2 linked regions of the Arabidopsis thaliana genome follow. The protein of the gene in region 1 interacts with the protein of each later gene in a pairwise test. Each region holds a gene or a part of one and is shown on either strand. Other genes may lie near its edges. The genes, in order: SPL7 and AT1G55460.

Region 1 (17,951 bases):
AGGCATTTAGATTAAATAACAATGCAGCTATTTATTTACCTTAAGGATCGAGAACGGGACCTTGACAGACATCGAGACCTGATTGGAGTAAGCACCCTCTCCTCTCTAGGACTTCTACAGTTTCTAGACTTGTATTCCCTCTCATTTCGAGGCAAAGGAGAACGTGAAATAGATCTTGACCTTCTTCGAGGAGAGTACAAATCATCCTCTCTTACTTTACTATGCCTGTGCTTGTGCCAGTGAAAAAGAAGAAGATTAAAACGGCTTTTACATACTGAGACAATTAATTTTGTTCTAAACATACAATACAAGAAGAATGAAAACGTATTACTAATGTTCTTCAAATGGCTTTTGTTCCTTCTCACGCTATAACTGAGAAAAGTTGTTTCTTTATCTAATGACTACCTTCAACACATTTTCTGGAAGATACATTTATAACTTGAAAGATCTCTTCTCTCCAACTTTTCTGGAGCAAAACGCTCCAAAATCTCTCATTTCTCCGAGTTTATGGAACAAAACCTATCTTTAATCTTGTGAAATTTCTCTACTGTCCACAACATTGAATGGCTCTATTTCTCCAAATACCATTCTTTCTTTGGCCACTATAAGTCTATTCATTCATTATTTGACCGGATGACAAAATGGCATACGCAAAACAAAACACAAGTCAAGCTCAATTCAGTACAGATAGTACCTACAAAACTCTCTTGCTAAAGTTATAGATAACTTGTTGACCAAGTGGTATTCAAGCTCTAGCTTACCAAAGCTGGTGAAGATGACATTTGGTGAAATAAGTCTTCAGGTTCAGATTTTAGGAAAAACAGACACCCTAATAAACATTTTTTCTACAAGACTTATCAACCTAGACGTGTCCAATTTGTGCCTTGTCATTGTATTATCCACACACAACTGACAGACAATCTAAGTGACTAGGAACCAGTGCCGTTTGCATTCACATGAGCGAGTTCCAAGAATAAATAAAGAGCCTTATGAAACAGAGAGTCATCATACACTATTATAACAAATGCCTAATAGATATAGATGAGAATCAAACCTTGACTCTCGCCTTGGAGGCGAACGCGAACGTGAATGAGCTGATGACAAGAAAGGACATAGTTAGTAAACATCACAGGGTACATAGGTATTGTTCTAACCATACACTGCAGTTGTCCTGAGACATATCAAAAATGTTAAAAGCAAACCAAAAAGCTACTTACAACGATATCTGCGCCTTGGTGATCTGTGTGAAGTCCTCTTGTAGTCCCCGTGTCGACCACTATATTAAACGAAATAGGATTTGGAAGTAACTAAGATAATTACTTACAAAACATTTACATTCATATAAAAATATGATACAAACACAAGAAAACGGACTCTTCACCTTGTACCGTTAGTAGTACGCATTTCTTGTGGAGTTTTCCGGTTCTCCTCAGCGAAAACAATGGCTATCTCACGCCCACCAATAACTTTGTGATTCATTCGTTTCATTGCCTCAGCTGCATCTTCAGCATAACGATACTTAACAAATCCAAACCCTCTCGGCTCCCTAAACCACAAAATAATATCACATTAAAGTTAAGAGTTCCTACTCAACAAACAACTACTTGAACTGACACCAAAAGTTACCAATCAAATTAGTCAAGAATCCATACACATTGACAATGTGACATTGTTAAGAGAAATAACCAGTAAGCTAAAGCTAAGCTAGGAAATAGCTAAAAGCATCTGATTATAAAAGACAAAGCTTGACATATACCCAGTATAATAATTCCTAGGCAGGTATATGTCCTTGAGTGGACCAAACCGTTCAAACGAATCCCTAAGATCGTTCGGCCTGAAAAACAAGAAAACATTCCAAAACTCGTGTCAATTAATCAACATTAGAGAACTTGTGATGTCCTTGATGGAATCTGAACAGTAGAGAAGGACGGAGAGACCTAGCATCGAGAGGGAGATTACGGATAAGCAAACCAGAAGGACCAGAGGATTCGTGATCACGAGAAGACGGACGTTCGCGGAGGCGATTATCGTCGTAGCCTTTCCGTTCGCGAGGTGGTGACCTGTCACGAGGACGGGGACTATAGCTTCTGCTCCGGCTTCTCGCTCTAGCCATCGAAGATTTCTCTTCCTTAGGTCTTCTTCTCAAACAAATCCAATCTTCGGAGCAATTGAATAGCAAAACCCTAACCCTGTCGGAAAACGAGTTAGAGAGTGAATTTTGGAGGGAGAGAGGAAGAAATCGACGACTGTGAAAGTTTTTCAAAACACAACACTTGCCGGAAGCTGGCTACGGTCTGACTTTGTTTGTTAATTCTTATGGGCTTTCAAATTTGCAAACTATGGGCTTATATAAATCAAAGCTTTAAAGGCTTTGTGTCAAAGTTGTTGACAAAAAAAAAGAAAAAACTCGTACCTTGACTCGTCCGGTTCCAAAAACTCGGTCACCCAAAAATAAAAATCAAAACCCTTCGATAAACCTCCCGGAGGAGAGGAGACACCCGAAATGTTCGCCGTATCACCGTCGTCATTCTCGCCGACAACCATTTCTCCGGTGAGTTACAATTCTTCTTCTCGCCTCAATTTCTTTCCCCATAATCTTCACGTTCTCTCGCTCTTGCCTCTTGTAGCGCCGTAGTGGACAGAGGAACGAACCTCGAAAATTCTCGGTGGTGAGAGCTGGAGCTAAGAGAATACTATACGGTAAAGATAGCAGAGAGAAACTCCAAGCCGGAATCGATAAGTTAGCTGATGCTGTTTCCATCACCTTAGGCCCTAGAGGTTAGTGAATTAGATTTCGATTTTGGCTACGATTTGAAGTTTTTTTCCGGGCAGAATCTGATTATGAGCAAACCAACCCTTCTCTGGGATTTCGAATTGATTTTTTTTCAATGTGGAAACCACGACGCAGGGCGTAATGTAGTGCTTGCTGAAAAAGATACAATCAAAGTGATTAACGATGGTGTCACCATTGCTAAATCTATTGAGCTTCCTGACACTATTGAGAACGCTGGAGCAACATTAATCCAAGAGGTTATTCATATTCATGGTGGCTAAATGATTCCCCTTCTTTTCCCCATTGTTAGTTCATTCTTTGAGCTCTAAATGGTATCAATTAGTTATCTGAACCTTGCGAGTTTCTATCTTGTGTAGGTTGCGATTAAAATGAACGAATCAGCGGGTGACGGGACAACCACTGCAATCATTTTGGCTAGAGAAATGATCAAAGCTGGTTCTTTGGCTATTGCTTTTGGAGCTAATGCTGTTTCTGTGAAGAATGGAATGAATAAGACTGTTAAAGAGTTGGTCAGGGTGTTGCAGATGAAAAGTATTCCTGTTCAAGGGAAGAATGATATTAAAGGTTACTTTATACTTATTACTAAATAATTATGATCCAACTCCTGTCTTAATTTTGAAATAATAGGGATTTTTTGTGTTCTGTAGCTGTGGCTTCAATCTCTGCTGGTAACGATGAATTTGTGGGGAATTTGATTGCTGAGACTGTGGAAAAGATTGGCCCTGATGGTGTCATCTCCATTGAATCATCTTCCACTTCAGAAACGTCTGTTATAGTTGAGGAAGGAATGAAGGTTAGTTTCAAACTTAAGTTGGATGTTTTAAAGGCTTCACAATGGCAGTTTCACACTTACCATTGTTAACATTATCAAACCATTGAGTTTCTGTGATTCATGAGGAAATTTCTTTTGTACAGTTTGACAAGGGCTATATGTCGCCTCATTTCATCACAAATCAGGAGAAATCTACGGTGGAATTCGACAAAGCTAAAATTCTTGTGACGGATCAGAAAATCACTTCAGCCAAAGAATTAGTTCCGTTACTGGAGAAAACCTCACAACTGAGTGTTCCGCTCCTTATAATTGCAGAAGATATCTCTGCGGAAGTGCTTGAGATACTGGTGGTGAACAAGAAGCAAGGTTTGATCAATGTCGCAGTTGTGAAATGTCCAGGAATGTTGGATGGGAAAAAGGCTTTGCTACAAGACATTGCACTCATGACAGGTTTTTCTCAATCATTTGTACTTTCCAAGTAAATTTTTACTGAAAATTTTCAGGTGATAACATGACAAATCATATACACAGGAGCTGATTATCTTTCCGGAGATTTAGGCATGTCGCTCATGGGTGCAACTTCAGATCAGCTGGGTGTTTCTCGTAGAGTAGTAATTACAGCTAATTCAACAACTATAGTCGCAGACGCTTCTACTAAACCAGAGATTCAGGCAAGAATTGCTCAGATGAAGAAGGATCTAGCTGAGACAGATAATTCATATCTTTCAAAAAAAATAGCAGAGAGAATTGCTAAGCTCACAGGAGGCGTGGCTGTAATAAAGGTCCGATTTTACAATAACCCATTCTTTGTTTATAATATGCTGCGACAACTTGGGCTTTCATCAGAACATAATTTCTACCTAAGTAAGAATAAAAAATACTGTTTCAGCTCTTGATATTTCTTTTGAGTCCTATATATCAGCTTAACCCTGTCTCAATATAGGTTGGAGGCCACACTGAAACAGAACTTGAGGACAGAAAACTAAGAATAGAGGACGCGAAGAATGCTACATTTGCAGCCATGAGAGAAGGTATAGTTCCAGGTGGTGGTGCTACTTATATCCATCTTTTAGATGAGATACCGAGAATCAAGAAGAATCTAATGGAAGATTCATACGAACAAATAGGTGCAGATATTGTAGCAATGGTATGAAAACGTAATGACAAAACAAAACATGTTTTCTTAACCATACTGGATTCGTAAAGTAACCTTTTAAGAGTGAAAAATCACTTTAATTTTTTTGTTTGCAGGCACTCACTGCACCTGCAATGGCCATAGCAACCAATGCTGGGGTTGATGGATCAGTTGTGGTGCAGAAAACCAGAGAACTCGAATGGAGAAGTGGTTACAACGCAATGTCTGGAAAGTATGAGGATCTTCTAAACGCTGGAATCGCAGATCCTTGTCGGGTTTCAAGATTCGCCCTTCAAAACGCAGTTTCCGTTGCCGGCATTATTCTCACAACTCAAGCAGTACTCGTGGAGAAGATCAAGCAACCTAAACCTGCTGTTCCTCAAGTTCCTGGCATACCCACATCATAACCAACCACCACCAAAGGTAACAAAGAAGCACAAAAACCAAACTCTCTACTGCAGATTTTGTCAGAATCTAAACCTTTGCTCACAAAGTGGTGTTTAATCTTGTTGTGTTTTAACTAAACATTAGAATCTGTGATGCAATGGTATGTGCAGAGTGAAAGAAAAAAAAGATTGTTGGAATCATTGTTGCTTATTGTGTTAGCTAAGCTAGTAGTTAGCCTCAAATTTCGGAGAAAGCAAGAAAATGCCTTGTAATGCAAGATTCTTACGCTGTAAGCCCTAGTTGAATGTGTATACGGACATCTTTTATATTATTTTCTTTTGTCAGTTTTGTGCTTAGAAAGCGTCATCAAGTCTCAATTATTATGCAATTTCATCTTATTAAACTTTTGTAGCCTATGTGGTTATGTCGAGACGTATTTGGAGTAATTCAATACATTAAGAATAAGCTCTCAATCGACAATCAGTAGTTTTTATCTCCAATTGAATTACAGAGATCGAACTCGGGTTCTTAATCTTACCAGACCCTTGTGTTTTTCCTCGGTTTCATATGTGGGTTAATGTTTAAATTGTTCATGGTGTCATCATTTATTTTTGGGCCCGGACTGGCCCATCCGAAAAGTGGGCTAATCTCCAATTTTCATAGCACATATTCTTAATACCAATCATTAACCATGTCATATTTCTGTCTGCGAAAACAAAACAAAATAAAGCACAAAAGGGTATATAGTAACTTAGTAAGCACATGGTGGATGAGACACGTGTCTATTTTCTGGTGGTGAATGGCTTGGAATGAGAAGACCAAAATTCCACCACCGTTATTATTGGAGAAAAAAAAAAAGCGAGAGAGAGAGAGCACTTGGGGTCGCTCACGTCCCAAGTAACACTGAACCGACGTCGTATTCGATAATGATTGATGAACCGTTGATTTCCTCAAACTCACGTAGCTTACACGCGAACCTCCCTTCAACCAATCATGTGCTGCCATCATTTAGCGCGTGTCTCTCACGTCCCGACACTTCCTCCTACATAGCTCAACACCTCCTCCTTGGCCACTTTTTGTTTCTTTTTTCTTTTGCTAATTATAAAGTAGGGACTCCCAAATATAAACCTATAGGCTAATTATATAACCAAGTGTCCCAAATATTGTCTCCCAAAATTTTTTTCTGTAGTTAGGGTTTTTAATTCTAAGAATTTTCTTTTGAATTCTGTTTATTATGCAACAAAAGAACGTTTCTATATTACAATTTTTTCAAGCAATCTACTTCTGGTTAATGTAAAACATAAATACACCTTTTTGGATATTATATAACAAGATGTAATAAGTTGAACCATATGCAATAACCATTCCAAAACGAGTCGATTGTGCTATCAATTATCAAACTACTTTTAGTTGTGTTAAGTTGTCATCTGTCAGAATATTTCACATCGTAAATCAAAAAATGATTTTAACATTTTCATTATGCAAAGATAATGGATCTTTCAGGATTTTTATCAATTAATTTTGAATTAAAACATTCTTTTAAAAAAAAAAAATAGTATTAGTGCTATTTGTGAAATGATGAATTTTCGGATTTTTGTCTTTTGCCGCAAAGAATTTTTGAATTATATAAGTTAGGCAAGAAAAAAAAAGAATATGTGAATAAACTATTAAAGCACGATTAACTAATCATGATTGTGTTTATTAGTTCAACGAGTTCTCTGTTGATTGAGTCATTCCACAGATAAAAAAAAAATGTAGACTATTTTAGATAATTTATTTTATTTAGTTCCATAAAATAACTCAAGAAATAAAAAGTTTTGAGATGTCAAAAAAAAAAAGTAATGTAAAAATGCATTATTCGGAGATGTTGATGACTTTGTGCAAAATTACCTAAAACCTTCAACCAAAATCACCAACTTCCTCAACAACCGATGGACCTTTCAATATTTCTCTGAATTTTATCAGAAATTGAAGACTCTCAGATGTCTTCTCTGTCGCAATCGCCACCACCGCCGGAGATGGATATCCAACCCCCGGCATTGGTTAACGATGATCCTTCCACTTATTCCTCCGCTTTATGGGATTGGGGAGATCTCCTTGACTTCGCCGCAGACGAACGCCTTCTCGTCGATCAAATTCATTTCCCTCCCGTTCTCTCTCCTCCTCTACCGCCTCTGATTCCGACGCAAACTCCGGCGGAATCTGAATTAGATCCTTCTCCGGAAGAATCGGGTTCTGGTTCGGATCGGGTTAGGAAGCGAGACCCGAGGTTGATTTGTTCCAATTTCATTGAAGGTATGCTTCCTTGTTCGTGTCCTGAGCTTGATCAGAAATTGGAAGACGCCGAGCTTCCGAAGAAGAAACGGGTTCGCGGCGGGTCGGGCGTGGCTCGATGTCAGGTTCCGGATTGTGAAGCGGATATTAGCGAGCTCAAAGGGTACCATAAGAGGCATAGGGTTTGTCTCCGTTGCGCTACCGCCAGCTTTGTTGTGCTTGATGGAGAGAATAAGAGATACTGTCAACAGTGTGGAAAGTATGTTACTTTTCTTGGCTTTGAGAATAAGAATTGGATTTGATAGGTGAATCCAGCGGGAACTGTCTTAGTTAACCTCCTATGCATCCTCCTGGGATTTTTGTGTGTGTTTGACTTAGGTGTTGTTCAGATTTGATTTGCAGCACAAAATGATCGAAGATCGGGATGGGTTTCTGTTGTCTGTTTGATTGGGATAGAGACTTTGAATCTATTGTTAAGAAATTGGATAACTTTGGGAGAGACTGTTGATCAGTTTGAATGATCCCACGGAATTTACTTAGTCTCTTTGTTGAGCATAAGCTGAGCTTAACTTCTGTTTAGCAGTATTATTGTTTGTATTAATTCTTTCAATCTATGCTGTTATCCATCATTATAGTGAGTAGTACTATCTGGCAGGTTTCATTTGCTCCCGGACTTTGATGAAGGAAAACGCAGCTGTCGGAGAAAGCTAGAGCGTCACAACAACAGACGGAAAAGGAAACCTGTAGATAAAGGAGGTGTTGCTGCAGAACAACAGCAAGTGCTTTCACAGAATGATAACAGCGTCATTGATGTTGAGGATGGAAAAGGTATAAGTGAACTGCGCAAATCTCAAATCATATCACCATGTGGTTTCTTTGTTTTAGTTGTTTGCTTTGCATATTTTGCTAGTTACCAACGTTTAGAGTTCTCTTGGAAATTCAAGCTGATTCGATTGTCAATGCTATCATTTTGAAGCAGATATCACATGCTCTAGTGACCAGAGAGCTGAAGAAGAGCCTTCATTGATTTTTGAAGATCGGCATATTACCACTCAGGGTTCTGTACCTTTTACCCGAAGCATCAACGCAGACAACTTTGTCTCTGTTACAGGTTCGGGTGAAGCTCAACCAGATGAAGGAATGAATGACACAAAATTTGAACGTTCACCTTCTAATGGCGACAACAAAAGTGCTTACTCAACTGTGGTGAGTTTCTCTTCAGCCTCTAACATCAAAAACATCGGTGCACTTAATGAACTAATTTCCCATTTCATTGCAGTGTCCAACTGGTCGGATCTCTTTTAAGCTCTACGATTGGAATCCAGCGGAGTTCCCACGGAGACTACGTCATCAAGTATTCTCAAGAATTATATATTACAGTTTAGTGTTCAAAGACTATGTTTACCTTCTCAGAATCTCAAAGAACTAATATCTTGCGATTAATTTGAATTTGCAGATATTTCAATGGTTGGCCAACATGCCTGTTGAGCTGGAGGGCTATATCCGCCCAGGATGTACAATTTTGACTGTCTTTATAGCAATGCCAGAGATTATGTGGGCGAAGGTACATCCTGTTATCTTTTACTCATCATTTTCATGTTCATGATGCCGCGACACAACATAAGAAATTGTTTATTTTCAGTAGGTTGTAGTCTCGAGATATGCTCTATTTCTCTATGCACCTTACCCTCTTAAGTACCATATACACATTAAAGCTCTTACGTTTTTGTGTGACCTGAAGTTCTTTTGTTACTAAAAATTGTCCATTATTTGGAAGCTTTTGCCCTGGAGGGAGAAAATGCAAACTTAGTATCTCTTCCCGTGAACTCTCTTTTGACTTTGCACTGTAATAAACTTTTCCAATTTGTTCCTGTAAACAGTTATCTAAAGATCCTGTGGCATATCTGGATGAATTTATTCTTAAACCTGGAAAGATGCTGTTTGGAAGAGGCTCGATGACTGTCTATTTGAACAACATGATTTTCCGTCTTATTAAAGGCAAGTTGGTGTGCTTTACTTGTTTTCTCTGGATTTTTTCACTCTATCATATTGGATAACCATAATGTCGTGAGCTATTAATGTGAACTAATACTTATTTGTCTTGGTTTTGACAGGTGGAACAACTTTAAAGAGAGTCGATGTAAAATTAGAGTCGCCGAAACTTCAGTTTGTGTATCCTACATGTTTTGAAGCTGGAAAACCAATTGAACTCGTTGTATGTGGACAAAACCTTCTGCAACCTAAATGCCGGTATTAATGTCAACCCTTTTTTTGAGCTATGCTTCAGACATCTCTCGCATTTCTAGTTCTGTCTTATTTCTCATATGAGGAAGCTGATATTGCAAGAACTTTCAAAATGTTGCATTTCGATTACTACCCATCATTTGTTGGTTTGATTTTTATCACTTGTGATTACTAAACTGTTCCATATACGAAAGAAAAACATGCTGCTTACAGATAATGGTTTCATTGTAGGTTTCTCGTGTCTTTTTCTGGGAAGTACTTGCCACATAACTATTCTGTTGTACCTGCACCGGACCAGGATGGGAAGCGTTCTTGTAATAACAAGTTCTACAAGATCAATATTGTGAATTCTGACCCTAGTCTCTTTGGCCCTGCCTTTGTCGAGGTACCCATTTGTTTGATGATATACAGTTTAGAAGTAGCTCATTTCAATACGATCCTCATCTAATCCTTTTGTAGGTTGAAAATGAATCTGGCCTATCAAATTTCATACCTCTAATTATTGGAGATGCAGCTGTTTGTTCCGAAATGAAACTAATAGAGCAGAAGTTCAATGCTACACTCTTTCCAGAGGGACAAGAAGTTACTGCTTGCTCTTCTTTGACTTGCTGTTGCAGGGATTTTGGGGAGAGACAGAGCACCTTTAGTGGCCTCTTGTTAGATATTGCATGGTCGGTGAAGGTACCCTCTGCAGAACGCACTGAGCAACCTGTGAACCGATGTCAGATAAAAAGATACAACAGAGTGTTGAATTATCTGATACAGAATAACTCAGCGTCGATCTTAGGAAACGTACTGCACAATTTGGAAACTTTGGTGAAGAAAATGGAGCCAGACAGTCTTGTTCACTGTACCTGTGACTGCGACGTGAGGCTTCTACATGAAAATATGGATTTGGCGAGTGATATTCACAGAAAGCATCAAAGCCCTATAGAGTCAAAGGTGAATCCTCCTTCGTCAGGTTGCTGTTGTGTGAGTAGTCAGAAGGACATACCATCAAGAATATTAAACTTCAATAAGGTTTTTCACTATTATCTGACTTCCCCTATTTTCCTGTTTGATCTATACTGGACTCTGCCCACAATCTATACTTGTCTTGCACATTTGGTTTCTTGCTCCACTCCTGAGTGCTGAACACTAACTTTTGTGTGTTTATGGTATATTTGGCACATTGTGACAATATTACAGGAGTCTGCGCACAATATTGTGTCTGTTTCTTGGTTTATTTGCATAGTTTCTGTTATTTAATGTTTGCCATTTATTATGTTTACAGGATCCTGAAGCAGGATTAGATTGTAAAGAGAGAATACAGGCAGACTGTTCACCAGATAGCGGCGGAAAAGAGACTGATCCTCTGTTAAACAAAGAGGTTGTCATGAACGTAAATGACATAGGAGACTGGCCAAGGAAGTCGTGTATAAAAACGCACTCAGCTTTAGCATTCAGGTCCCGTCAAACTATGTTCTTAATCGCTACGTTCGCTGTCTGTTTTGCTGTCTGTGCGGTTCTCTACCATCCAAACAAGGTCACACAGCTTGCAGTGGCAATCCGAATGAGATTGGTACACAAAATTTGAATATAAGTTCAACGGCAGAGACTCTCATTAACGTGTGTGCATCAAAAAGCTCGAAGAGAGCTGTAAGAGTGTTCAACAGAGCTCAGCCACAACAGCTTCTCAGAGAGTTTCCCTTCAGAAAGAGACAGGATATGATCAGATGAGGTCTTGCTCTTTCTGTGTGTTCTTCTTCCCAATTTCTATAAGACCGGTGATGCTGCAACTGTAATAACAAGAAATGCTCAGATCAGTGATTAATTATCTCTAGTCGAATAGTGTTTTATGTATATTAGGGTTTACTTTTGCTCACTGTAACCTGTTTTTTCTTTGTTTCTTGGTCTAAGAAATGATTCTTGAACAAATCCTAATCGTAACTTTATGCAATTTTCTACTTCAAGCAATGTCTTGGCTCTTGAGATCTCTCTAAACTCTGTTTGGTCACCTCTATTATCAAATGTTATCTTTGACTTTTCTTATTATTATTGTCAGTCCAATAGATTAACTAGTACTCAAGTAGCATAATAATTTGAGATGGTTTTATTCTTTTCTTCTCTTTTTGAAGTACAACTGTATTAAGATGCATGTTGGATTGAGAAATCGGCACTGAGATTGATTGCAACATAGAAGGCAAATGGGTAGAAAAAGACAAAGAAGATGAGATTTGAAAACAACGAAGAGACACACATATAAGGAAATGCGTCAGTTCTGAGTCATATATTTTGGTAAACGACAACATTCTAACATTTTATTTATTTGCTTTAGATGTATTCACCTTTCTTTAAACGTATCAAACGCTAGCTTTAACGTGCTAATTTAAACATAGACTAATCTATTTTGCCTTTAAAAGTTTGCTCAAACTTAGAAGCATTTCTCTTTAACAAAAGAAAACTATTAGAGATTACTTGGACGTATGCAAGATACAATCTCAATTCTCACCGAAAAAGTTTGTACAAGTTCATTTCACTTTTGCAGTCATTAGTTAGGTTAGTATTTTTCTTTAAATATATGCATGCTACGCGTGGTTGCTGCGTTTGTTCAACAGCTAACGTAGAGAATTAAATTGCATTTTTTTTTCATTTTTTTGTCGTAGAGAAATTGCATTTTAATTACGTCTCATTACCTTTGACAAAAAAAAAAAAAAATACGTCTTGGAGATACTTTTTATAGATTCATTTCAGTTTGTCAATTAGTTATTATGTTATTATAAATAAAAAAATGTAATAACACCCTTTTTTCCTCAAATGTAATAACACCTTATATTTTTCAGAAGAGAAAAATATAATGCTGAACTCATCATTATACCCGCACACCAAAATGAGTGATGTCATGCGTTCAAACATATGATTTGGTACATCAAAATAATGTCCGACCGTACGTGTACATATAATATTGGAAAATTTAGAACTTGCGCCAAACAACACATCACATGATTCATTGAACAAAATGATATGCACATGACTCAAATGAGTTGTACGATAGCCTAAAATCACTGTTTTAAAAATACGCAAAACGGTTATATCGATTTCGTTTGTAATTACAGAAGGAAAAAAAATCATCTTGGAAATGTGCTTTAATTAACGGAAGGTACAGTTTAGTTCATGTTTATTAATTTGATGATCTAGAAGTAAGATAACCCGTCGGATTAGAAAAGTCCATGCATGAAATCCTACCAACGGCATGAACATAACGCATCCACAAATATCTTTAAAGACGAATTTTGATACGATTTTGCCTTTGTTCAGAACAATTTAGAGGTTAGTAGTGACAGTAGTTAGATATTACAGTATACAAAATTACGTAATAAATCATAAAAAGAAACCAATAAACATGTACAAACAAATCTAGTATATAAGTACATGTGGACCCAAAAAAAGCAAGCAAATGTGGACAAAATATTGCTGAAGCTCGTACATGGGTACATGATCGCAATCACTATGGCTAGTTTGGAAAATACCCACATGGTAAGATATCAACATGAAATCCGAAATCAGTTTCAAAACAATTTTTATAGATTTATTGTCAGTGCCGGCTGAGATGGTAAGGCAGGTGCGACAGCCGTATAGTACTTTAGTGACGAGTAAAAATTAAAGTTTGTAACCCTTCCAAAAAGGTATTAAGAAAATTGTATGATCAATTCGATCTTTAAAATAACATGTTTTCCATTTCATGAATATCAAGACTTATAAACTTTTGTTGTTTTATATAAGTTGATACAATTGTTTTAATTTTATGTAAAATAATAATGAATTACTTAAACGTGAAAAACAACTTCATATGTTTTGTTCGATGTATACAGTTACAAATTACATTGAATCTCACAAGAAAGGAAAGTCGTAGTATTATGAGATTACATTACTTGAAAGATTAGATATAAATAGTAATAGTAATGTAAAAGAACAAGGAAAAACTTATTAGGTAGTAAAAAAGAAGAGAATGAAGTGGAGATGACTAACTCTAGGGGTAAACATCAGAGCCAAGTCAGTGAGAGCTTCATCACAGTCCCCACATGAGAACTATTTTTGTCAGTATTAATCTCAATCATTATCGCATTTAATATTTCATTAATCTATTTTGCCGTCGAAGGACAAATATTGTAAAAATCTTCGTCCCATGTCGAGACTTTACATACATCTATTACCTATAAATACCTAATTCACGAACCAAAGTACTCTTCACATCTATCTCTTTCTCTCTCTTTCCTTGCAAATTTTCAGCTCTCAAAGAGTTAAGAGTTAGAGAGAGAGAGGATGGCCATTAGGGAAATCAAAGATGTAGAGAGGGGTGAAATAGTGAATAAGGTAGAAGATCTTGGGAAACCATTTTTGACTCATGAAGATGATGAAAAAGAGAGTGAGAATAATGAATCATATTTGATGGTTCTCTTCAGTACTTTTGTTGCTGTCTGTGGCTCCTTTGAGTTTGGCTCTTGTGTAAGTTTTTGCCTATAGCGAGAACACTCTCTTTCAATCCGAAGTTTCCTTTATAGTTGCCAGCCTCTGTCTTAATTAATTCACCAAACTATTTTCTCAGATTTTCTTTTGTAATTATTTGTTAAAGGTTGGATACTCAGCGCCTACTCAGTCATCTATAAGACAAGATCTCAATCTCTCCCTTGCAGAGGTTTGTGTCTATACTTCTGGCTGAACCAGAGTTTCTTTCCTGAACTCTTTTATCAACTAGGATTTTTCAAAATTTTAAACTTACAATATTTTAACTTCCGGGGAAATCACAAAACCGCGGTCCAAAAAATGGAAGGAAACAAAAAAAAAATGTACGGTACTCCGGCGTGTTTGGTTCATAAATTCATGTAATTAGACTTGCAAATAATATTGCTTTGTCGAAATTTTGGACATCTAGCTAATATTTGTGATTTTCGGTAACTAATACGAAAGAAACATAGTTATACTCTTGCAAAATGATACTAATGGACAAACATTGTAGGTTGTCTAAATTACATCTTTAGCTACAGCAAAAAATTTACACATAGCTAGCTATCTTTTTACCTATTTAGTTAATATGGCTGTGCTATATGGACCAATTTTATTCAACTAATCCCATTTAACTATATATATTTTTACTACAAATTTACAGTATATAGGAGATCATTTTTGTGTGTTGTGTGAAAAATGCAGTTCTCCATGTTTGGATCCATCTTAACTATCGGTGCAATGCTTGGTGCTGTTATGAGTGGGAAAATTTCAGATTTCTCCGGCCGAAAAGGGGTAAATATATCTTGCCAATCCTTGTAAACTTAAGGGGCCAATAATACAACTAAAAAATAAAAAGCAATGCTTATATATGTCAAAACTCATTTCAGGCAATGAGGACATCAGCTTGCTTCTGCATTACAGGTTGGCTCGCTGTCTTCTTCACCAAGGTAACACAGAAACTTATTTTCAATTATTTTGCAACACCGAAACTACATATGCTGAAATTAGTATAGATTTTGATCTTAATATGATGTTAAAATGTGGTGCAGGGGGCATTGTTACTTGATGTAGGAAGGTTCTTTACAGGATATGGAATTGGAGTTTTTTCTTATGTGGTAATTTACTCTCTTTTTCACCAAGTAAATCTTACATAATAACTCTAGAAGTCAACATTTTATGTAGTAGTCAAAGATAAAGCAGTGTGATTCTAATTCTACTGGTTTTGGCAAATTATTTTGATATTTATGAACCAATGTTTATAAAACTCTCAGTCTCCAAAGTAACTGAATGCAACAAATCAGGTCCCTGTGTACATTGCTGAGATATCTCCCAAGAATCTCCGAGGTGGACTCACAACACTGAACCAACTCATGATTGTGATCGGCTCATCGGTTTCTTTCTTGATCGGATCTCTCATTTCTTGGAAAACTCTTGCCCTAACCGGTAAATTTCTCTCTGTTTCTATGTTACTCTTTATAGAAATTCCCTTTGAAAACTGATCAAAATATGTTTTTTGTCTTCAAAGGACTTGCTCCCTGCATTGTTTTGCTCTTTGGCTTGTGCTTCATACCCGAATCTCCTCGATGGCTGGTAATTTTCTATCTGATTCATGATTTTTATCGATCTTTTTTAAATATAAGTATCCAAAACATGATCTAAATATTTCATTCTCTTGCAGGCAAAAGCAGGCCATGAGAAAGAGTTTCGCGTAGCCCTGCAAAAGCTGCGAGGAAAAGATGCAGATATCACAAATGAAGCAGACGGTATTCAAGTCTCGATTCAAGCTCTAGAGATTCTTCCAAAAGCAAGAATCCAAGACCTTGTGTCCAAGAAATATGGTCGATCTGTCATCGTAAGTTTAACTAAGAAGTCAAAAACATAATTTATCAATCTTTTGTATATATTTGATTCATTAAACTCATGTGTGATCGAATGTTCTTCAGATTGGTGTTTCCCTGATGGTATTCCAACAGTTTGTTGGAATCAATGGGATCGGATTCTACGCAAGTGAAACGTTTGTAAAAGCCGGTATATAAGATAGACCTCGATATCTTTTCTTGTATCAGAACCAAGTAAAGTTAGATTCTAACATATGTGTTTAAAACACTTGCAGGATTTACCTCTGGGAAACTAGGAACAATCGCTATCGCTTGTGTTCAGGTGGAGAAACGTTTTCGCTTCACTCGATAACTCTATGATGATCTGTACTCTTATTAGTGTTTAAACAGATTGATTCCTTTTTAACAGGTGCCAATAACTGTTCTTGGAACAATCTTGATAGATAAATCTGGACGAAGGCCACTAATTATGGTAAAATCTTTGAGTCTACGAAATGCGCTTTCGAGTCAAAAGTTTCAATTTTATAACATGTACAAATGTTGCTGCAGATTTCAGCTGGTGGTATCTTCTTGGGATGCATACTCACAGGCACATCTTTCTTACTCAAGGTCCGTATCATTAACCCTAGCTCAACCCTGTTTTCACTTTGAAATCGATTAATCTGTGCGTTAAAGTCAAGTTGTCACATCAAATTATTATATTTTGGATTCAGGGACAGAGCTTGTTGCTTGAATGGGTCCCTTCCTTAGCCGTTGGAGGTGTACTTGTAAGTAAAACTTAGTTGGTTCTTACTTTTTACCAAAAACAGAACTCAATATATTGTCTGAGCTGAGGTATGTTTCTTGTGTAATACTATAAATAATCTCTCTTCTTCACTATTTTAGATCTATGTAGCTGCTTTCTCCATCGGAATGGGACCTGTTCCTTGGGTGATAATGTCTGAGGTATGTTTCCTTGTGTAGAAAGCAACCTTATTTTGAAACAGATTTGTTACTTTTGTAGCAAGTAAATTTGTTTAAAAACAGAGTCAATGCTTTTAGAAGAGTATACTGAACTGGTGCTCTGTTTTTGGGGATGAAACAAACACAGATATTTCCGATAAACGTAAAGGGAATCGCAGGAAGCTTAGTGGTACTAGTGAATTGGTCTGGTGCTTGGGCTGTTTCTTACACTTTCAACTTCCTCATGAGCTGGAGCTCTCCAGGTAAACACTCTTTAAGGGCTTGTTTGGGGAGAACAGCGTGTAATAACCGCAAGAAAACCACGTTCCAGAAACGCTTAATTGAGTTTTTATTTGTGTAGGTACATTCTATTTGTACTCGGCTTTTGCAGCTGCGACGATAATATTTGTGGCGAAGATGGTGCCAGAGACGAAAGGGAAGACACTGGAAGAGATCCAAGCTTGTATTCGAAGAGAAACATAAGAAGAAAGATACAATCAATGTTATGGGAATGTTATCAAATGAAAAGACTCGAACTATTCCCGTTGGTGAGCTCAAAGTGGAGTAGAGTAAAAATTATCGCCGGGAGATAACGTTGAAAGTCCGATGATGAGGCATAAGGGTTTTGCATGAATGTTATGAGAATAGGTTTACTTTTATGTATTTGTTCACGTTTTAAGTTTTCATCAAATAGGTTTTTGATTGGTATACAGTATGTGGAATATTAATAGAATGGAGTGGCAGATTTCATATTCAATCATTCTACATGCTTTCAATCAAACCAAGTCCGTGAGATCAATACATCAAAACCCTCTAGATGCTCTAGAGGCTCCTTGAATTACCATAATACTCCTATCTTCTCGAATGTTAGTTATGTTGATGACGTGGCGCAATTTCTATTTATATTAATTTGTTTTTTTTTTGGAATTTGAGTTTTTTCTGTGTTCTCTGGATTGGGATCACTGGAAGAAGATTATCAATGGCGTCTCCATCATCGTCACCGACAACAAGAATCTGGTTCCGTACAGTGATCTTAATCGCTTTAATGGTGGTTCTCTTCTACGTTGGCCGTCCTCTCTA
Region 2 (14,720 bases), on another chromosome or scaffold:
GTGCCTTGGTCAAGTCGGTTCGTGGTCTACACCCAATGCAATAACCATGGGTCAAGTTGAAGAAGAGATCATGTGGATGACAGCCATGAATTAAAGGATCTGGAAGGGAAGCGCATCTGACGTCTATTTGAAACTCACAATATTCCTCACCGCATTTGTACACGAAACCACAACTTAATCGGTAGCAAGCTTTACATTTGAATATGTCTTTGGCAGCAACTGTATTAAAATCGAACCTGGAGATCCCACCAATCGGGAAGGGGTGGAGGGTAAGTGGGTGTTTATGTATTGGGAGGTATTTTTTGCGAGGAAGAGAAGCACATGCTTCGTCGAGTACAAAATCACACTCCATACAACCATAAAATCTCCGAGAGATTATAATTGGAATCGTGCATGCAACACAATACTTGTCTTTCTCGCAAATGGTTTTCTTTTCTTGGAGCTTCAGATAATGTTCATGACTGAAATGATGAATTGTCTCCACATCAATCCTCACAAATGGCTCGATATCTTCATCAGGTTCTTCAGGCACTCCTTCAAGATCTTCTCCATCCCACACGTCATTCCTCGTTGCACAATGCGAATGGACAGCATAATGACATCCCTTAATACAAGAATATTGCCCATAGTTAACGTCGACGGTTTTGCGACAAACTCCGCAAGAGAAGTCACCAGGTTGAAGGGACAAAGTGAAAGAGAGTCGGTGTGTGTGTCGGGTGATCTGAATGACACGAGGTAGATAGATACATTTTATGTGGACTGTGTGGCTGCAAGGGAGACACGTGTAAAGGAGAGTGCTGCGTGTGCTTAGAGACAAGCCACAAGCATCACATGACATAGGGAGTCGTGTACAGAAGAGGGTGAGCGTGTGCTCATGACTTTTCATGTGTGAGATAGTGAGAAGTGGTAGCATCATCGAGCAGGGCAAGTTGAGATTGAACTTGCAGATAGAACAATGATAATATGTCTTGTCCAAAGGTTTGTTACAACATCGGCAGCTCCTGTGATTTCCATCGGATAAAGAGGCATCAACATTAACATCAGCATCAGCATCACCATCAATATCAACGCTGCCATACGCATCATCATCACCATCAATATCAACGCTGCCATCACCATCACCATCACCATCACCATCACGATCATCATCATCACTATCATCATCATCTGTTGATCCTTCTGAACCGGAGGAGCCATCCCACCAACCGTTGCGTGTGTTTGAAGAGATGAGGGTGAGAGGGTGAGAGGAATGAAAAGGGTGTCTTAGATTCGGCGGAAAGAGGTGACAACCTCTGTGGAACTCTAAATTGCAAGTTGCACAGTAGTAATAGTACTTTCTGCACGTTAAATTCTTGCCTTTGCATGTAAAGCAGATAGAAAGTGGAGAAGGCCGTCGTCGTCTGCAAAGATTGTGGGGCTGAGCCGGATCAGACACACGACATGGGGGTTTAGTTCTAGAATACACCATATGTGTTTCTTTGGAATGAATGAAGAAGCAAATGAGAGAGAATGTAAGTAATGTAAAAGGTTTTCAACTCATATATCGTTCTGGTCTCGCATTTGTCCTTTTAAAAGATCTGCCCAGAGAGTTAAAAGACCAGTTCCAATATAAAGTCAACTACTCAAGATTCTTGTTCTCTCTCTCTTAATCCAGCTGGATCTGAGAGAAGACAAAACTAGTTCAGGCTTCCAGGTAAACTAAGCACGATTATATGAATCCTACGTAATTGAAGGGACTTTAGAAATTAGGCAAGATTAATTAAAAACTTAAAATCTAATTTTCAAAAAAATATGAATTTTGGGGCCTATTTCTAAAGAAATGTAAATGTTGGGGACCTTTTTGTAGTAAGAAAAAAAGACCCTAGAGGCCTAGACACATGTTTCATCTCGCTCGCCCAGAGACTAACATAAATACCAAATAAATCATATATATGAAAGAAGTCTAACTCTCTCCCACAACATGACACCTCAGCAATCCAGCAGTTGACACATCAGCACATATTTTCATATATTTACAAAAAAATCATTAAAAGTAATTAAACGTAATTTGCTCAAACTTTTATATAATGAATCAATTAATGACATTTCAGTTTTACCTCTTTCGTCTCCTTCCAAATTCCAATTCATCCCCTTCGTCTTCTTTTTCGGAATCTTACTCGCCAATCTTTCCAACTTCACATTTTGTTATCTATTTAACTCAAATTTGTAATAATTTTTTAAAATTCACCTACATGATTAGATTGAAGATACAGAGACATGGTTAATAAAGTCATGTTATATTTTTAGTTTAAGAAATATATTTTCTAAAATTTCACCGTCTCACAATCTAAACATATAACAAAAAAATAGGGATATATAAATTTTAAAAAAAAACTGAGAATCTAGGATAACAATAAAAAACAACTCAAGCACATTCGTTTTTCAGATGAACTAATATAGTTGGACTTTTCAAAAACAATTACAAATCATATTTATGTTTTAAAACCGATGCATTCAACTTTATTTTATATGAACAGACATTATATAAAATAATTTGTAAATAGTAATACATAAACCCGCACGTAGTGCGGGTACTCATCTAGTATATTTTAAAAGTACGTATATTCCATAAAATGGCGCAATACAAAAATCTATGCCATTCATAAAAGGTACTATATTCCCTAATATACGAGACCACGACAAACAATTTTACCAATGTTTGGAGATCTCCGTTGAACTTACCTCCAATAATCAAGTCTCTGTAACATAAATCCTAGATTTAATTTAGAAGCACTAAAAATTTTGGTCACTCGTTAGATCAAATTTCAAAAGGCTTCTAAATTCTAATCATAGGTTTGACTTTTAATTTGAGTTTAGAGTTGTTTTGGTATTAGGCGAAACGTATCAACAAATGGCCCAGATGTAAGTTGCCCATATGCTAATTATAAGAAATTGATCATGTCCTTGACTATATTACAGAGTTTTGAGCCGTACAAGTTGGGCTTAATATATAATTTCTTAAAACCCAAGAACGTGTGAGCATCTATTTATGCGCGTACTCAGCGAAAAACAAAAGAACACTTGTGAGAATCTATTTTCTTTATTATGTGGATGCTTGTACTTTTATTTTATCCCCTTGAGTCATGAATGTAAGAGTGTTGGGTGACTCTTAAATCTTTAGATATTACTTAACCATCTCATATCAATGACATAAATAAATACATGACAACATGTCAACATGTAAAATAAAAAAGATTTCATTCACTAGATTCAGAAAACCGTTTCTTTGTCCTTCAAAGGATCTAACTGTTCTTCCTTGCAGAGTAAGCACAGTAAGCCGCCACTCCAGCAAATGCAGCAGCAGTCACTATAATTTAACAACACAACACAACCCAATTTGGTTAATTCGATTGACATTGTTTAAATTGGAGATAAAAACAATGAAAAGATTTCAGAAAACAAACCTGAAGCAATAACAGCCGAGTTGTTATGATCCTTTAGTGTTGTAACTACGCAGTTCGTATCAAATCTCTTTCGATGCCGCTCTATATCTGAAGCCTGCATTATATATAAATAACGAATGATTCATTTATACCAAAACTATATAGATATTAATTAAGTAAATGAATTATTTACCGAAAGTTTTCCAACAATCATATGAGCTTTGTAGAAAATATCTTTAACATCATCATCATCACCCCAAGCATCTTCAAATTTGGAGATCAAATCTTCAGTCACAAGCTCAACTCCACGTTCTTTAGCTTTCATTGCGGGCTGCCACGATCTCAAGAAACCGATAAACCCTTTAAGCGATAGCTTATGAGGAATGTCAAGCATTATAGGCTTCCCTTCTGATCCCATCCCTATACTTTCAAACGGAAACGGCAACGTTTTATAACCGTCGAAAGCAAGATTCATTACAGGAGTTCTAAACGGGAACGTGGAGTCCACAAGACGTTTCATGATGGAATCAACTTCAGGAGAGATGATTATGTCGTTGTAGACAAAAACTGCGATTAATCCTCCTTCTTTGCGAAGAACACGTTTTGCTACGTTGTAGAATGGTGCGAGATCGAAGTAGTGAACGGCTTGTGCTGCCACGATTAGATCAACGGAGTTATCTCCGCCGACTAGAGCAACCATTTGGTCTTCGGACATTGTTGTGGGAGTGTGATGGTAACTGATTCTTTCGTGTTTTACCGCTCGTTTTAACTGTGCTTCGTTTATGTCGGTTGCTGTAACTTTCTCGAAATACTCTGCAAGCTGCAATTAAATTAAACCATGGTAAATGTTGATTAACATTTTAGGTGAATAGTACAATGACAAATACCATTACAAATTTGAACCAAACAAATTTTTTGTTTAATAATTATAAATGAGGTAGATTAGTAACTTTTATTTTCTCAAAATAAAACAAGAGAAATCATGTTCTCAAAATGTGAAAATGTTAATAATTGGTACTTCATTCATAATCATCACTAACATTAGACGTTAATAGTATCGATTGAGATAAATCTATGCTCTAATTAAATCATAAACTCATTAGAAAGAAGCCATTCATCTTCTTCTCTCCTCTCAACTAAAGCTAATAAATCCATAATTGTGTTCTTCTAGAGGGATTAAAACGACATCGTTTGAGAGATCTAAGTGAAGCAGAGTACATAAGAAAGTGGAAACTTTTGGAACAAGATGGAAGAAGCTTACACCAATAGCTGCTTGACCGTTGCCAGTACCAACATCCCAAGCTGATTTGTGCTGACCGGTTCGAGCAGCAAGTTTCGTGAACCAATCGATCGGATATCTCGGCCTTGCGTTCTGGTAAGCATCCGCTAACTTATCCGACAAGGCAGCCATTGTTTTTTTCTCTGTTTTCTTGTTCTTGTTGTTCTATTGCTTTGTATCTCTGTATTGGTCTATGAGAATTAAGTCACTCATGTGTTGTTGTTATATACTGATTGTGGTTTTTGCAGTAGATGAGAAGAATGAGACCAAGTCAAGTTTTCAAAGTCAGCTCTGGCGACGAGTCTACTCCTTACCCCCAAGAATTGGTCCCCTCTTCAATTTTCCAAATCATTTGAATTTATTTCTTTTTTGCTACTCTCGTTGTATATAGTTGACTTTTCTTGAATCTCACTTGTCACACAACTACATTATCTTTTACGATTCTCAATCAATATATCTCTAATAATAGTATTCTGTTACAAATAGGAAATTAATTCAATAAAAATGCAAGATTCAATAATTTCCATTGTGAAAGACTGAAAGTCAAAGATCACAAGATATAAGACCAAACAAGCTGTTAAAATTATTTGAGGCATATATTATAAAGTTGTAAATTTACCTTTTTTTTTCCCCACAATTTACATTTCTTTTCTTATAGGCCCAGTATTGTATGGGCTTTAATTGATGGGTCGTATTCGGTATTCAGGATAAACAATTATATTTGGTATGAGTTTCGGTTTATCATCAATCAATATATTAGCTAATCTTCGCCGATTGAATCTTCATCATTCTCGATCAGTGGTTGTTACCTGAGAAACCCTAGATTTCAATTCCCAACACCTTAATTTTGTTCGACAAACCCAAGAAGATTCGATGGGTAAGAACGATTTTCTAACCCCAAAGGCGATTGCGAATCGAATTAAAGCCAAAGGACTTCAAAAGCTTCGATGGTATTGTCAGATGTGTCAGAAACAATGCCGAGACGAGAATGGATTCAAGTGTCATTGTATGAGCGAATCTCACCAGAGGCAGATGCAAGTTTTTGGGCAGAATCCGACTCGTGTTGTCGATGGTTACTCTGAAGAATTCGAGCAGACGTTTCTCGATCTGATGAGGCGGAGCCACCGTTTCTCTCGTATCGCTGCCACTGTTGTCTACAATGAGTATATTAACGATAGACATCATGTTCACATGAATTCGACGGAGTGGGCGACGTTGACGGAGTTTATCAAGCATCTTGGGAAAACTGGTAAGTGTAAGGTTGAAGAAACTCCTAAAGGTTGGTTTATTACTTATATAGATAGAGATTCTGAGACTTTGTTTAAGGAGAGGTTGAAGAATAAGAGAGTTAAGAGTGATTTAGCTGAGGAGGAGAAGCAAGAGAGGGAGATTCAGAGACAGATTGAGAGAGCTGCTGAGAAATTGAATGGTGGTGGTGGTGAAGGTGAAACCAGTGGTAATGATGAAGTTGTGGATGATGGTGATGATGAGAGGAAGAAAGATGAAGACTTGAGGTTGAAGAGTGGGGTCAAGGTTGGATTTGCTCTTGGTGGAGGTGTTAAACAGGTTGCTACGGGTAAAGAGAGAGGGGAAAGCTCGAAACTTTTGTTTGGGGATGAAGAGAATGACAAGGTTGAGAGAGGGGAGAAGAGGAAGAGAAGTGGGGACTCCGGGAGGAGCGAGAAGGAGAGGAGATCAGCTTTGGATGAGTTGATGAAGGAGGAAGAGAAGAAGAAGGAGAGGATGAATCGGAAAGATTACTGGTTGTTCGAAGGGATCATTGTGAAGGTGATGAGTAAGGCTTTGGCAGAGAAAGGGTATTATAAGCAAAAAGGTGTTGTGAAGAAAGTGATTGATAATTATGTTGGGGAGATCAAAATGCTTGATTCTAAACATGTGTTGAGAGTTGATCAAAAGGAGCTAGAGACTGTGCTTCCACAAATTGGAGGGATGGTGAAGATAGTGAATGGGGCATATCGTGGTTCGAATGCAAGGTTGTTGGGTGTGGATACAGAGAAGTTCTGTGCTAAAGTGCAGATCGAGAAAGGTGTCTATGATGGAAGAGTCATCAAGTCCATTGAGTACGAGGACATATGCAAACTTGCTTAGTTATATCTTTTAGACCATATCGGGTTTTACGATGCCTTGTATTTCTGCTTGAACCTCTTTTTTTTATATACAAGTGAAGCACTCTGTTTCCTGATAGCTAGCCGCGTTAAAAAGGTACTGCAGATGAATCTATTTCACACATGTTATTCGATCTGGTTTGTAGAACGAATTGTTTTATGTATGGCTACTGTGTAGTATCTTCGAGAAATCTTATGATGTTTTGAATGTGCGTTTGCAAACGAAGCTTGAATAGTAAACTCCAAGTACTGAGATGAAATGTCATGAAAGGCATGAAGTTAAACACATAGGCAGCCTAACTAGAATATTAGAAATGTTGCATTCGACATTTTAATAAAACCAAGTTATCCATTAACTTCTCTACTATATAAGATATCTTTGAAATTGTTCTCTGTTCTTTCATCTTTTCATTCTCTTATTTTTCTCGGTTCTCTTTTCTTTCTTTCATACAAACATATCATATGTAACAAGTTATTCTATAAGTTAAATCATATAAAAAGGTTTGAGTTTCTTTTGTCTTATGATTTTAGTTTTTACCATCGAAATTATTGACCTAAACAAGTTCATAAATTTGGCGATCTAATTAAGTAAAGAAATTTCAATAAATGTAGGAGACTAATTTTTTTTCCCCCCCACAAACACTATTTTATTTAAGTAATCGGTAATAAACTCTCCGCTAGAGAAAGCCATTCAGGAACCGATGTGCTTTCATGGGAGAAAAGACTTTTTCGATCCCGAGCTTTTTTAGCTAAACAATCATCTCGAACAGTAAAACTACGAAGAAGAAATCTAATATGAAAAGAAGAAAAAAACAAACTAAAGATCGATAGGAAGCCAATTCCGCTGCGAATGTCGGCTAATCGTCTTGGTTGTCAATGATAGAAATTAGGTCTGAACAATCTGAAGCAAAAGTACCAGAAGTATTGCTAATAGAGATCATGCATCTATTGCCCATAGCAAAAAGTCAAATTCTGCATGAAACGGTGATAAGCTTCGATGAGTACTCTTGATGCCAAGATGGAGGAGTAAGTCTTGTCCAACAAGGACTCATCCAACATGCCAAGTAGCATCAAGTTGACATTCAGGGAGCTGGGTTAGCGGGATTTGAGAAGAACTTAGGGGAGGAATTGAGCGTATGGGTGCATCTTCTGCTAGAGTTGCTTGTTTCCAAACATCTGCCTCTTGAAGAGCCAAAGTTAAAGTTTCAACAAGAGGTTTTCTAAAGTTCTAGAAGCGATTTCTACTTTTTCAGATATACCAAAGTATCCATGGAAAGAGTTCCAACACTTCTTCTCCGATTCCAAATTCCCGGCCACGCCAAAAAAGAAATCGAAATTATAGAAAAGGGACTTTCTAGGAAAAATATTCTGTGAGGTAGGAATATGCGATAATGCTCAAATCTGTCTCGAGGGTGGACAATGAAACTGGAGATGGTTGATAGTCTCTTCTGTTTAATCTGCATCGGGGGCAACCTTTATATGTACCCTTGTGACGATATGTCAATCTTTGACAAGTGGCTAAACAACCAGAGATACATTGCCACGCGAAATGCATAAGTTTCCGCGTAGTTTTAAGCTTCCATACTTGTGCTTGAAGTGCTGAAACACCTGGTCCCTGAAAAGGGGGGTCACAAGTAGGACGAGACATGTCACGTGCGGCCCAATATCCTGACTTAACAGTACAATTACCGGATTTAGTATAAGACCAGCTATAACCATCACTCAAGTAGATACCGTTTGGACGAATCTCTGAAATGAGGTGAAATATCAACGGGGTCGATCAATGCTTGGAGACGGTCTAGTTTCCACAAATTTTGTGTTTTGGTCGATTAAACATTTACATAGAGTAGGGGATCTCTTATGTTAAGAATGCTCGTCGCGGACCGCACAAGGATGGTGGGAATCCATGGATCTTCTCATACACGGGTCAGCATTCCCGAACCTATGGTCCTCCGAAGTCCCGAGACAAGAAGAGGTTTGGCAGCTATGATGCTTCTCCATCCAACAGACGGACGATTTGAGGCTCCTATATGTAATGGATCACTATATCGAAAGTATCTCCCCCTCAAGACCCTACTCAAGAGAGAGTTTGGTACCCAGATAAGACGCTACCGTTATTTAGCTAAAAGAGCTAGATTAAATTCTTCTAGCGTTCTAAAGTCAAGATCGCCCTCAAAGTGTGGATTACAAAGCTTATCTCATACAATCCAGTGGATACCATTACTATTTTCATTAGTTTTTTACCAGAAATTTGCAATAACACTATTCAACTTTGAGCAAATAGCCTTAAAAAATAGAATGCACAACATAACATATGTCGGAAGGGCTTGTGCTATAGATTTTATAAGAACCTCTTTACCTTCTTTGGACAAGAATTTGGCTGACCAAGTATTAAGTCTTGAAACTTATCTCTCACAAATAAGAAAATTTGGGTTTAAAATAGGAAAAAACTTGGGTTTTAGGTAGGAGAAAACTTGACCAAGTATCGACCACTGTTCTCATAATAAATGTAGGAGACTGCAAACAACAAAAACAGTGGCAACTAATTAATTGGGCAGGACTAGGAGGCAAATCCACAAGTCTTTAAAAAGCAATTCCTTTAGGTAGGCACTGAAAAAGCAAACCTTTTTTTTTTTCTTCTTTCCGGTTGGTCCACTGTTATATAAAGCTTGGTTGGTTCTTGACTTGGTTGTCAAAATCCTAAATCCCAAATAAACAAACAGAGAAAAAAGGGAGAAATATTTAACAACAGTAGGAGTCTACAAGTCCACGGCTTGATCAATTTGTTCTTCATCTATTTCCTTATTCTCAGGGAAATCCAGGGTTTTTGAATTCGTACTCTCTCTCTCGTTGTCCCTCTCAAATCAGAAAAGTATCTGCCTTTTTTAAAATTCATTCCCCTTCGATCTTTGCTTTTTCATCGCTGATTGTTCTTAAAAGGAATCTCTACTTTTTCAATAAGCATTAACATTGTCCGTTTCCTCATCTTTGGTTCTTCGATTCTCTTAAAGAGGATTTTATACTTGATTCTGTTGAAGCCCTTTTTCTGGGGTTTTGTCTGCGTTTGTTTCCTTCTTCTAATCCAGAATTAAAACTAGCTCTCTGCGCTCAAAGTTTTAAGTTTTATTCAAAGAGGTGTAAGCAAATTCTCCAATTGATGATCAACTGTTTAAAAGACTCAATACATGTTTTGATGAGTGTTTTGCTTTGTAAGATCCAGTGTCCCTTTTTTCTGTTTCATCTGGAAGCCATTTATATGTGGCAAGTTAGCTGAAGTTGAAAACTGTTGTTTCAGCCACTAGTGATGATGATGATGATCATGAAGAGATTCTCGAACATGTGGATGGTCTTACGAATGCTGAGGATAGAGAAGAAGTAGATGCAAAGGAAGAAGAAGGTCAAATTGTTGGGGACACTCTCACTCTCAAAAGTAGTCTTCGAAAGGTTGATTCAAATTCAACAGAAGCTGAGAAGAGGGAGAAGAAGAAGGTACAATGGGTGGATGTGATTGGGAAGGAACTTGCTGAGATTCGAGAATTTGAACCTAGGTTGGTCTTCTATTGTTGAGAATATAAGAATGAGTTTGGTCATAAGGATTTTTTCTGATGGCATCAGATTTGTTTTGGTTTCTTTTCATTAAGAATGAGTTCTTTAAGTTTTCATAAGTACTTGTTTTGTGGAGAATGATGTGATTCTTTCATTTTTGCAGTGATGAAGATGATATTGATTCTGATCGAGGCAAAACCTGTGTTTGTATTATCCTGTGATCCGTCCACTTAAGTTTAACTGGGAGATTTAAGGCAAAAGACAAAGTTGGTGGCTTCAGCATTAAATTCCATATACATGGAGGTACATATAGAATCTGCATTTGTGTTCTATAGCCATTCTTAAGTTTGCACGCTTGAAGCCATATGATGATGATTCCTGATTTAACACGGAAGCATTCTTTTTCTTCTTCTTTAGAAGTGTTTAAAGTATAGGTCTTTAACTTCATTCGTTGCTTCAATCATTTAATGAAGTTCTTTCTCATTCAGATTGTGGAGCAAGTTTCAAATATAACAATTGCTATGCATCGATATCTAGTTCTGCGATTTAGTTCAAATGACTTTGATATCAGTGTGTTTGATCAATGTCTAAGTGACAGCTTACTTCAATTTGAGAGAAAACTATTGCTTGTTGTCTTTCACGCAGCCATTGTTTACATTTATAGTAAGAATTTCTGTATAGATATTGCTCTTGGTGTGTTAGCATAATTCTGTCAAACTCGAATCAAATGTTATCACTATTATATTTGGGTGCAAAAACAGCAAGTTTGATAGTGCAGACTATATCTCAAGGCTTAGGCTTTGGAGCACTTCTGTTTTCAATTTCTTCCACTTTACCAGAGGCTCAGTGAATTCCATCAAGAATGTGAATAGATCTGTGGTCCACAAGTATGTAATTGAAAGAAGTTTGTAGCACCCAAGAACTGGTTTAAGACTCATCTGTTCCAAAACTCACCGCTCAATCTGTTAGGAGCAAGAGGTGATTCATTCTTGATTTGGATCTCAGTATCTTTCCTGAGTTATTGTTTGCGGGCGACATAAGAATCATGAAACTAGAATCTCCTCTGTTTCTTTAGAGAGCCAATGACACTTGCTCTGAACGTTACCACTTCTGTCATGTTGCCTTGTCTTCTTGTAGAACTGGTCATATTGAGTCAAAACTCAATTGTTTGTGTAATAAACGAATCCAACTGAAGGGAGATGCGAATTTATGAAGAAGAAAAAAAGGATCAAACTAAAGGTACCATTACAATATGACACGTGGCGAAACACCAAGACTGAAGCATAGCCACTAAAATCATGCAAACTTGTGTAATCCGAAACTTTGAAGCTTTTGCGAAAAACCAACCAACGTCACATAATCGTCTTCTTCAACTAACAAAATCCAACTAATCATCATCTGTCTCTCTGGCTCTGGCTTGTGTCTGAGCTCGAACTTAAAGAAAAAGAATCTCACCATGTCTTTAGCTCCGAGCAGTTATCCATCTCTGTATTCTTCGCCTTCACTGCCAAGAACCCAGCAAACCAAGCAAAACCCTAGTTTGATCACTCAATCCAGTTTCATTTCCGCCAAAAGTCTCTTCCTTTCGAGCAATTCGGCTTCTTTATGCAATACCCATGTTGCCAAACGCCGGAATTTAGCTTTGAAGGCGTCGGAGACAGAGTCTTCAGCTAAAGCTGAAGCAGGAGGAGACGGAGAAGAAGAAGAGAAGTATGAAACATATGAAATTGAAGTGGAGCAGCCTTATGGTTTGAAATTCAGGAAAGGAAGAGATGGTGGCACTTACATTGATGCTATCTTACCAGGTGGATCAGCTGACAAAACCGGAAAGTTCACTGTTGGCGATAGAGTTATTGCCACAAGGTTTGTTCTTTCTCCTTCATGTTCCAATGTGATTAGCTTGAGAGACTGTGAAAGTTTTGACTTGGAACTTTGAAAATTGAGAATGCAGTGCAGTATTTGGAACAGAGATTTGGCCTGCAGCTGAGTACGGTAGGACAATGTACACAATTCGTCAGAGAATTGGTCCCTTGCTTATGCAAATGGAGAAGAGAAATGGTTTGTTGAATTTCCCATATTCTAGCTCTGTTTTATTTTATCTATTCTCTCTGCAAAACTCATTATTGGGTTTGGTTATGTTTAAAATGTGTTGTGTCTTCTTCTCTTGCAGGTAAGGCTGAAGATACTGGTGAGTTAACAGAGAAGGAGATCATAAGAGCTGAGAGAAATGCCGGATACATTAGCAGTAGATTGAGAGAGATTCAGGTGAGCTCAAAAGTTTTGATTATGTGACATCAAAAGTAATGAACTTTGGCTTGTGAGTGAGCTTTGTTTTTGTTTTTATAATTGTAGATGCAAAACTATTTGAAGAAGAAAGAACAGAAAGCTCAACGGGAGAAGGATCTTCGTGAAGGGCTGCAATTTTCCAAGTAAATACTTAGTGAGTATACCAAAGGGGTTTATGGAAACCGGAAAGTGAGCATTGACATGTGTGTAATTTGATATAGGAATGGTAAGTATGAGGAAGCATTGGAGAGGTTTGAGTCGGTGTTAGGTTCTAAACCAACACCAGAAGAAGCATCAGTTGCAAGTTACAATGTTGCTTGTTGCTACTCAAAGCTTAATCAGGTAAAAAGCTTTTGAATCTTTTCAGATATTGCATTTTGACTTGCAGTGTTGATAGAGTTATTTTGATAGGTTCAAGCTGGTCTCTCGGCTCTGGAAGAAGCATTGAAGTCAGGATATGAAGATTTTAAGGTAAGTCCAAGGAGTTGTAATGTTTCAATTGAGACAGAGAGAAGGATGGACTTGTTTGTTGAAGCTGTGTTATTTGTTTTGTTTGCAGAGAATCAGAAGTGATCCAGATCTGGAAACTCTCAGGAAGTCGAAGGATTTCGATCCACTTCTGAAGCAATTCGACGAATCTTTCATCAATGAGAGTGCCATTAACGCCATCAAATCCTTGTTTGGCTTTAACAAGAAATAGTTCACCTAAAGTTTGTGTCTTTTGATGTGATCTGTTCATAGCTTCTCTTCTCTTCTTGGCTCTATACATACTTGTGAGGAATTTTATTCGATCATAAATGTGTTCTTTTTTTCTTAAGAAATTCTTTTAACCATTTCATTCAGTTTACGTATACCATTTCATATGAAGTGATAATAAATCTTCAAATCTTTGGATCAAAAGTTTCATATTTGGCGATTTCGAGATATTTCGAAGCATTGAGGGAATCATGATTTATTCATATGATGATTAATTCAAAATTTCAGTTTCACATTACACATTCTCTTGTTCAAAATCATTACACTCGCAAGCTAAAGTAATCCGTTTCAATATTAGCCTATCTCCTCTTAGTATCCATATCCTGAAATAAGAGAGGCCAACAAGATTCAGCAATGAAACATGAATATTGAATGCGGGGGATCTTTACCAAAGACTCAAGTATTTGAAATTCTGAACAAACCTGAGTTGTCCATTGGGTTGCCGACGGGAACTGGTTCAGGTTCCTTGATCTCAACAACAACGCAGTCCGACATCAAGAAAGTCTTTGCAACCGAAGCTGCGTGTTCCAAGCAACATCTCACAACCTAAAATCAAGATAAAGCCACTCAGGTTCATGGATCTTTGATGACCAATTTAGCTAGCAAAGACAGTTTCTGTATATGCACAGAAAACTTACCTTTGTTGGATCGATGATTCCTGCAGCCATCAAATCCTCGTACTTGCCGGTTGCAGCATTGTAACCGAATTTCACGTTATCGTTGGAAAGCACCTGCCAATGAATAGAGACATCTCTTCAAGCATCTGACTTGAAATCTAGAGATAAAAAAGTGGGAATTATGTTATCTGTTGTTATTACCTTCTCGCTAACTACACTTCCATTAACACCAGCATTCTTGGCGATTAGTTTTAGGGGGTAACTTAGTGCTCTTTTAACTATATCCGCTCCAACCTAAAGGGAATCATCAGCAAAGTTAGAGAAACCGAAGGTTCATGAGTTAAAATCTGAAGACTTGATTGATTTACCTTTTCTTCATCATTATCAAGCGTGGCTTTAATGGCATCAACCTTGGAAGCAAGACGAAGCAGAGTGCAACCACCACCAACAACAATACCTTCCTCGACAGCGGCCTGAAGAATTAAAATCCTGATTAGTTATAGTTCACGAGTATGCAAATAACACGCTTCTCAAGCCTCAGAAATACAAAATCACCTTTGTTGCATTAAGAGCATCTTCAACTCTCAACTTCTTCTCTTTGAGTTCTGTCTCAGTTTGTGCTCCAACCTTTAACCAATACATAACGAGCTTAACTTAATATCTCTGAAACACATCTTAATCAGACAAA

Evidence for each region.
Region 2: the proteins of SPL7 (region 1) and AT1G55460 interact in a protein complementation assay, tested with the Arabidopsis thaliana proteins (one study listed by BioGRID).

What each region holds. Positions count from the first base shown.
Region 1 is NC_003076.8:6,269,046-6,286,996, forward strand, and holds SPL7 (squamosa promoter binding protein-like 7), read left to right. Parts: upstream 1-6,944; 5' UTR 6,945-7,070; coding exon 7,071-7,621; intron 7,622-8,017; coding exon 8,018-8,190; intron 8,191-8,341; coding exon 8,342-8,568; intron 8,569-8,641; coding exon 8,642-8,716; intron 8,717-8,818; coding exon 8,819-8,926; intron 8,927-9,242; coding exon 9,243-9,360; intron 9,361-9,476; coding exon 9,477-9,612; intron 9,613-9,837; coding exon 9,838-9,991; intron 9,992-10,065; coding exon 10,066-10,626; intron 10,627-10,879; coding exon 10,880-11,167; coding exon of another isoform or gene 11,168-11,182; exon of another isoform or gene 11,183-11,251; coding exon 11,252-11,317; 3' UTR 11,318-11,522; downstream 11,523-17,951. Other genes in the region: SCL28 (SC35-like splicing factor 28), read right to left, coding at 40-225, 1,055-1,094, 1,218-1,276, 1,382-1,546, 1,757-1,834, 1,938-2,113; Cpn60alpha2 (TCP-1/cpn60 chaperonin family protein), read left to right, coding at 2,504-2,551, 2,628-2,778, 2,909-3,030, 3,151-3,358, 3,442-3,587, 3,710-4,016, 4,098-4,348, 4,510-4,713 and 1 more; AT5G18840 (Major facilitator superfamily protein), read left to right, coding at 13,909-14,091, 14,219-14,281, 14,794-14,883, 14,979-15,038, 15,141-15,206, 15,393-15,534, 15,617-15,681, 15,770-15,943 and 8 more; AT5G18850 (Low-density receptor-like protein), read left to right, coding at 17,851-17,951. UniProt on the Arabidopsis thaliana protein: Transcription factor that participates in reprogramming global gene expression during copper deficiency in order to improve the metal uptake and prioritize its distribution to copper proteins of major importance.
Region 2 is NC_003070.9:20,701,993-20,716,712, forward strand, and holds AT1G55460 (DNA/RNA-binding protein Kin17, conserved region), read left to right. Parts: upstream 1-5,314; 5' UTR 5,315-5,574; coding exon 5,575-6,810; 3' UTR 6,811-7,035; downstream 7,036-14,720. Other genes in the region: AT1G55440 (Cysteine/Histidine-rich C1 domain family protein), read right to left, coding at 1-1,468; AT1G55450 (S-adenosyl-L-methionine-dependent methyltransferases superfamily protein), read right to left, coding at 3,282-3,346, 3,444-3,537, 3,616-4,242, 4,657-4,833; AT1G55475 (uncharacterized protein), read left to right, coding at 9,985-10,036, 10,123-10,375, 10,537-10,594; ZKT (protein containing PDZ domain, a K-box domain, and a TPR region), read left to right, coding at 11,830-12,236, 12,325-12,431, 12,544-12,638, 12,726-12,802, 12,881-13,001, 13,071-13,130, 13,219-13,359; CPN60B (chaperonin 60 beta), read right to left, coding at 13,725-13,738, 13,838-13,961, 14,054-14,146, 14,234-14,326, 14,401-14,505, 14,588-14,659. UniProt on the Arabidopsis thaliana protein: Promotes the copper deficiency response by direct interaction with SPL7. Acts with SPL7 in a common pathway to promote copper-responsive genes and alleviate oxidative stress during copper-limiting periods. May promote SPL7 function when copper is limiting.